Linked DNA regions of Macaca fascicularis. The protein of the gene in region 1 interacts with the protein of each later gene in a pairwise test. Links are inferred from orthologs where the notes say so. Each region holds a gene or a part of one and is shown in the gene's direction. Other genes may lie near its edges.

Region 1 (3,562 bases):
TCTGATATTGATCAGTCATCCTGAAAGGAATACCATGTTACTTGGCAAGAAGGCATGCCTGGACATAATAACCCTTTCCACAGAATAAATTCTTAATTAGTTGAATTTTGTGTGAGGTTCTGGACATACACATATACTTAAAAATTTTATTAAGTTCAATTGAACTAAATATGATGCCAGTTTGGAAATTACTTAGTGTTGGCTGTCCAATTAAACTCTCATTACTAGAGGTCAATGCCATTGTACAATGAATTTTTAAAGAATTTCTTTCTAAAGCTTTGTTAGTGGATTGAGCTGTAAGTATGGGAACACTGTGTAACAAAATTCTTGCTTCTAGGTGACATCCATGGGCAATACTATGATTTGCTGCGACTTTTTGAGTACGGTGGTTTCCCGCCAGAAAGCAACTACCTGTTTCTTGGGGACTATGTGGACAGGGGAAAGCAGTCATTGGAGACGATCTGCCTCTTACTGGCCTACAAAATCAAATATCCTGAGAATTTTTTTCTTCTCAGAGGGAACCATGAATGTGCCAGCATCAACAGAATTTATGGATTTTATGATGAATGTAAGTACTTTTCTATATCTCAGGAAGTTATTGAAATTAAGATATTTATCATAAACAATTATCACGTACTTCTGTTAGGAATTGTGAGAGTTTAGATGCAGTGGTATCATCTCTCATGTTTTCTATTTCATCAACTTGTTTTTAACTTAGCTTTTTAGGGGAGGTGGGGGAACAGAGTCTCACTCTGTTAACAGCCCAGGCTGGAGTGCAGTAGCACCATCTTAACCTCATTGTAACCTCTGCCTCCCAGGCTCAAGCGATCCTCCTGCCTCAGCCTCCCAGGTAGCTAGGACTGCAGACATGCATCACCACGCTCAGCTAATTCATGTATTTTTTTGAAGAGATGGGGTTTCACCTTGTTGCCCAAGCTGATCTGAAACTCGTGGACTCAAGGAATCTGCCCACCTAGGCCACTCAAAAGTCCTGGGATTACTCGTGTGAGCCATGGCGCCCAGCCAGTTTTTTCTCTCTTGGGTAGAAAAAGAACACTGCCGCTATAATAAAATAAGGTCTTGGATTCTTTTATGATGTGATGATCAGATTAGGAAATAATGATCATGGTAGTGGTTTCTTTAAGATGTAAATTGTTGTATTCACAGATAACTTAATTCTTGGTAGAAATCTGAGAACCATTCTAAATAGTTTTAAGCAACTTTATTATGTAATTTCATTCCATAAAATTAATCTGTTGAAAGTATACAATTCAGTGATTTGTAGTAAATTTATAGTTAACGCGACCATCTCACCGTAGCCCCCAGGCAACCACTAATCTACTTTTTGTCTGCTAGAGAACATTGCATGCAAATGGAATCTTGGCAATGTGTAAATAATTAGTTTTTGAAATTATTATGGTTTTTCTCCTCTGGCATAACCGCACCCAGGAAGAATGGCAATAACTTTCCTAAAACTAAAATGTGCTGAACAAAGATTATTTTTACAGTATTTTACGCATTTTGTGACTCATTTTGGATTGTTTATTTAAAGGTGCACTTTGATTTGACTATTGACAAAACACAGTTCTTAAAGCTTTGCAAATAGGCTGGGCGCAGTGGCTCACGCCTGTAATCCCAACACTTTGGGAGGCCACGGCAGGTGGATCATGAGGTCAAGAGATCGAGACCATCCTGGCCAACATGACGAAACCCTGTCTCTACTAAAAATACAAAAATTAGCCAGGCGTGGTGTCAGATGCCTGTAGTCCCAGCTACTTGGGAGACTGAGGCAGGAGAATCGCTTGAACCCGGGAGTCGGGTTCAGTGAGTCGAGATCACACCACTGTACTCCAGCCTGGGTGGCAGAGTGAGACTCCGTATCAAAAAAAAAAAACTTTGAAAATAATCAGTTTGATAAAGGGTTTTACGTCAGAAAAGGTTTTGAATCTTTACCTTCACCTTCCTTTTGTGCTTATTTCTGCCAGGAGGGGTTTCAGGTTTGGAGTGAAGGGGTGGGGTGGTTAAGGAACTTCAGGTAGTTGGCATTTGCTAATATGATTATAGGGAGATCAGCAAAGTGTTGTCCCTGTGGCCCTCCCCTAGACCACATCCTAACTTAGAGTCTCCAGATGTGTGTTTTTCCATCTCAGTTCACATAGATGCAGTGAGCTAGCACATTTGTTAGAAGTGCATCCTAGAAAGATTATATTCACAGACTGAGCCCTTCTACTACCACCCTTTCCCACTACTGGATGTTTGCTTGGTCTGTGTCCTTGAGATCCAGCTGGTAAGATGAGGTGGCAGGAATGATCAGGGACAAAAATTCTGTGGGTTCTGGACTGACTGATACCATTGAACCTGTACAGGAAAGATATTCGATATTAACAGGGATTCTGTGTCAAAGAAGTACCAGTAAGCCAGTTACTACTCCTTAGGTAGTGAAATACAAGGCAGATGTGGTGGGTTTTTTTTGTTGTTGTTTTTTGTTTTTGAGACAGAGCCTTAAGCTGGAGTGCAGAGGTAGGATCATAGCTTACTACAACCTGTAATTTCTGGGCTCAAGCAATCCTTTCACCTCAGCCTCCCTAAGTGCTGGCATTACAGGCATGGGCCACCACACCCAGGCAACATTGTGTTTTGGATACTTATTCCAAGTGTTACTCTTGAGTTAAGAAAGGGTTCCTTTTACATAACTGTTAGCCCAGTAAATACTTTTCATGTTTGCACTGATGAATTCAAATCCATTTGACCTCATTGTTGTGACTTCTATCCTAACGTAATGATACTAGCTGCATCAGTTTCAGTTTCTACTCAATGCAGAGGCCTTTAAAATGACTTAGAAGATCAGTGTCGGTTGGTATCAGTTTCGACTCCTGTTTGATCATCAACACAGTTTATAGATCAAGCATCCTCTCTCCCATCAGGCAGATACAATTTGCCATCCAGTCTACTTGTGGGCATAAAAGTGCCCTTGACATAGGTGGCTTCTGGTTGAAGGCTTGCAGACATTTAGTATATATATTATATATATTAATTTTATTAAAATGAAAAGTTGTATTCAAATGTTGATTTTCATGGGACAATTTTAAAACCACTGCCTGTTTTCCAGGTACATAAGTACTTTATACTACCATTTCTTTTTTGTTTGTTTGTTTAAATTTTGCAAATGTGATGAAAAGGCTGAGGTATATGTTGTTGGGTAAAACAGGAGTGTTTGTTGATCCATTTCTGCTATCGGAGCTGTCTGATGTACAGTAATGGGAAACTGCATTACAGGTTATGGCTCAGAATCTTAGGATTTGGAAGCTAGACGATTTCCCTGGTTAAACCTTTTAGGACCCAGATGTTCCTAGTGGTTTGAGGTGGCCTTAGGGAGGATATGAAGAGAGAAGAGAAAGAGACAGCCCCACGCTTCAAGTGCTGAGAGGCAAAAGGAGGAAGCAAACTGATTTTTCATGGAGAGGCCAGCAGAAATCGGCAAGAGAAGAAACTGGAGTTTGTGGCATAACTAAAGAATCAAAGGCCGGGCATGGTAGCTCATGCCTGTAATCCCAGTACTTTG
Region 2 (3,999 bases), on another chromosome or scaffold:
ACTGGACATATCACATAGGGCTCTTGTGAGGATTGAACTGATAGCACACAGTGTTTGGCAGAGTAAAGGCTCAACAAGCAGCAGTTATTCTCAATATTTTAGCTCAGGCACCAGGTGCCTTGAGGTGATAGAGTAAAAACTCTAGCTGAGAGATCAAGTAGAAACTTAGGAAGTAGCCCGGGTTGAACACAGGAGCTGGGCATCGTGCTGAGTCTGTTCATTGGCACCATCTTACTTCATCCTCAGAACGTTACTATCTCCGTTTTACATATGAGGAAACTGAGGTTAGAACTTGCCTAGATTCGTGTAGCTAGTAAGTGTCAATTCAAAGACCTTCCAGCTAGTTTTGGTTGAGCCAAAGGGGCTAGAAGACCTGCCATTAGTTAGATTTTCATTTCAAAAATAAAACCTCAGCATGAAGTGCCTTTCCCAGTGATACTCAGCGTGATTTTTTTTCTTCTTTCACACATACGGCTGTATGTGTGAAAAGGGTCATTTCTCTTCCGGCTTTAGTGTTCCCCGCAGGGGAGAAAATTGAAGAATAGACAGAAATACAAAGTATCTTTTAATTAAATGCCACCTCGCTGTTTTATGGGGCTCGTATGCTTTCCTAACATTTGTTAGATAAGTTGGTAATTCCCGGCAGCTGTCTACTGTGTGGTGCATCTGTGAACCCATAACTAACAGAAAAGCATGAAGCCAGTTTGGGATCGCGCAGGCTAAGATGAGGGAGAAATGCGGATACACCGGGCAATGAACAACATAAACATTTCAAATGCGATACACATTCGGATTGAGCCACATCTGTGTGGAGATTCAACTGCACTGACCCACAAAGCTATTCCCAAGTAACAGCCGCCCCAAGCCTGAGGCACTGGCGCCCCGCCTGGGCGAGGCTGGCTGCGCTCTCTCTTGGCCGGCGCCCGTTGCATGCGGTACGTGCCTGCCCGGCCCCTCGCCCAGGGTTCCCGTTACGCGGCTGCGTCCAGCTGGCCGCGGAGTCCCAGAACCTCCCCGGGATGCCCAGCTCGCGCTCTGCACGTCCGGCCCCGGGGCGATCATATTCCCGGGGCGAGGGCTCTCGCCCCATCTGGGTGCTGGTTGGTCGCGCCATGGGGCCCGAGGCCCGGCGATTGGTCCCAGGAATCGGGTCACGTGCTTCGGAGCAGATAAGCGGCCTCTAGGCGCCAGGCCCTCAATCTCTCCCAGCGACCGCCGCGGGGGAAGGCAGGGAGCTGTGGTTCGAATTTGTGCAGGCAGTGGGTGCTGGCTTTCACGGTCCGCCGCCTGTCTGCCTAATGAGCTGCACCAGGTAGGTTCGCTGCACCTCTGCGCGGTAGGAACACAGGGGAACGCACAGCTGTGGGGAAGTTGGGGGGGCGTTTCAGTTCTGTCATGAGGATAAGGGAACTGACTGCTTAGTTGAATCTGGCAACCGAGAGGGCTTGGAGGTGTAGAAATTTGACTCTATTTCTTAAGCAGAGCCTATTTTAGCAATCAGCATCTTAAAGCAGAAGTTATCTTAACGTGAATCAGCTTGAGTTCTGATTTTCTCATGGATGCGGCTGTTCTTTTGGTCCTGCACAAATGTCGCAAGGACTCAGGCAGCTGAAGTGGTGAGAACAGCACTCTGACATTGCTGGTTAGGTGGTTTAGCTTGGAGGAAAAAAATTACAGGACGACGTTTGCATTCATTCGTCCTTCTTATCACAGTTTGCCATAGCACAATCTCAAGAGTTTGAGCAAACAATTACTTTTAACTCTTGTCCAGGACTTAAAGTTCCAAGGAAATCACCCAAAGTAAAACTGTCTTTCTATAAATGCAAAAAGTAAAAATAAAATAAAATAAAAAAACTGCCATAAAACTACTTTAAATAGCTTCTCCAGACATAGCTTAGCAGAAGACTTCTCTAAAAATCCTGCCTATTAACTATTATTAGACCCACAAATATAGCTTTAGCTTTCATTTGTTTGTTCTAAGTTTGCAGGTCTCCCAGAAAAACCCCAGAGCTAATACAGTAAATTCTGCGAGTGTTATTACCCATTTTTGTGATAATGACCACTTGGATACATATTTAGAGCTGCTGTGAGGAGAGTTACTAAAGCCAGACTGAGAAATGTCGTGTACAGTATACACACACCTCTTACTTGTAAGGCTAAGATAGGGAAAAAAATCCTAATACCATAAGCTTGGAAATATATAATGAGGGCTAAAGGCCAGAGAAAAGTCTTCTTTATGGATGCTTCTTGGTTTAATATTGCTGAGCATAGTCATGTTTAAAACTTTAAATAGCTTTATTGTCTTTCTACTTATAAATGTCTATTAGAAAATGCCAAAAAAGGAACAAAAATGAAAATAGATAATCTATAGTCCTATCACCCAGAGATAATAATTATTACATTATTAGGAAAGGTGTATTTCTTACAGAGTTTTTCAATATTTATAAGCTTGCATACATATAATGTATATTTTAAAACACGCCAACTTTCAGGTAATCAGGTTTTCCACTTAAATGTGGACTTGTCATGGGCATCTCTTTAGATGAATTATCAGTTACACAGTTTGTAAGTACATATGAATTATTGACTTGTATTTCAGTGGTTATTTGTGAAAAATGAGGAAAAGCATGACAATCAAAGTACAAAGAGAATTCTTTGACTTCTTCTCTAGCCTTCTCACTCTCAAAACTGTTGCATGTTATTTTTGTTTTTTTTTGTTTTTCAAGTGAATTACCTTACCAGAGAAGTGTCAATCAATTTAGCAGCAAAATAAGCCAAAGTAGCCAGAGGGAGCAGAGGGTCTGGAACTGTGGCTTCTGAACCTCTCTGGTCATTAGAATCACCTGGGAAGCTTTAAGAGCATATCCATCCCTTGGCCCTAGCCCCAGAAGTTCTGCCTCAGTGGTTCTGAGTCCCAGGAATTGGAAAGAAAGAAAAAAGAAGAAAGAGAGAGAGAGAACGAGAGGAAGAGAAAAGAAAGGAAGGAAGGAAAGGAAGAAAGGAAGGAAAGGAAGCAGGGAAGGAGGGAAGAAAAGAAAGAAAGAAAATGAATTCCCCAGGCATAGTGACCAGACAGGTTTGAGGACCACTGGTCCAGAACAGAGCACACAGTTCTCAAGGCTGCCTGGGAGATAATCAAATCGAACCCTTTTATTTCTCAGATGGGGAGACTGAGACCCCCATCACCCTCTAAGTGTTTTAAGCAGTTAACACTTAGCCTTTAGCCAGCCAAGGGTAGAGGTAGACATAGAAAGAAGATCTGATCAGTTAATACTGTTCTCTTTTACTATATATGATAGCACCTGCCTGATATCTACTGCACTGGCTAAAATTCAGTCAGCACAAAAATAGTACATATGTATTTGGCACTGGGAAAGAGCACTTCCGATCCAGGTGATAATCCCTCTTCCCTTTGCATTCCAGAATGATCCAGGTTTTAGATCCACGTCCTTTGACAAGTTCGGTCATGCCCGTGGATGTGGCCATGAGGCTTTGCTTGGCTCATTCACCACCTGTGAAGAGTTTCCTGGGCCCTTACGATGACTTTCAACGAAGACATTTTGTGAATAAATTAAAGCCTCTGAAACCATGTCTCAACATAAAACAGGAAGCCAAATCACAGAATGACTGGAAGTGCTCGCACAACCAAGCCAAGAAGCGCGTTGTGTTTGCTGACTCCAAGGGCCTCTCTCTCACCGCCATCCATGTCTTCTCTGACCTCCCAGAAGAACCAGCGTGGGATCTCCAGTTTGATCTCTTGGATCTTAATGATATCTCCTCTGCCTTAAAACGCCACGAGGAGAAAAACTTGATTTTAGATTTCCCTCAGCCTTCAACCGATTACTTAAGTTTCCGGAGTCACTTTCAGAAGAACTTTGTCTGTCTGGAGAACTGCTCGTTGCAAGAGCGAACAGTGACAGGGACTGTGAAAGTCAAAAATGTGAGTTTTGAGAAGAAAGTTCAGATCCGTATCACTTTCGATTCTTGGAAAAGCTACAC

The links. The genes of interacting proteins can lie anywhere in the genome.
Region 2: the proteins of PPP1CC (region 1) and PPP1R3C interact in binary tests that used the Homo sapiens proteins (3 or more experiments, as listed by UniProt). The link is inferred for Macaca fascicularis from reciprocal best matches to the Homo sapiens genes PPP1CC and PPP1R3C.

Annotation. Positions count from the first base shown.
Region 1 is NC_088385.1:117,610,134-117,613,695, reverse strand, and holds part of PPP1CC (serine/threonine-protein phosphatase PP1-gamma catalytic subunit), read left to right. Parts: intron 1-337; coding exon 338-568; intron 569-3,562. UniProt on the Homo sapiens protein: Protein phosphatase that associates with over 200 regulatory proteins to form highly specific holoenzymes which dephosphorylate hundreds of biological targets.
Region 2 is NC_088383.1:100,435,614-100,439,612, reverse strand, and holds the start of PPP1R3C (protein phosphatase 1 regulatory subunit 3C), read left to right. Parts: upstream 1-1,197; 5' UTR 1,198-1,298; coding exon 1,299-1,312; intron 1,313-3,423; coding exon 3,424-3,999.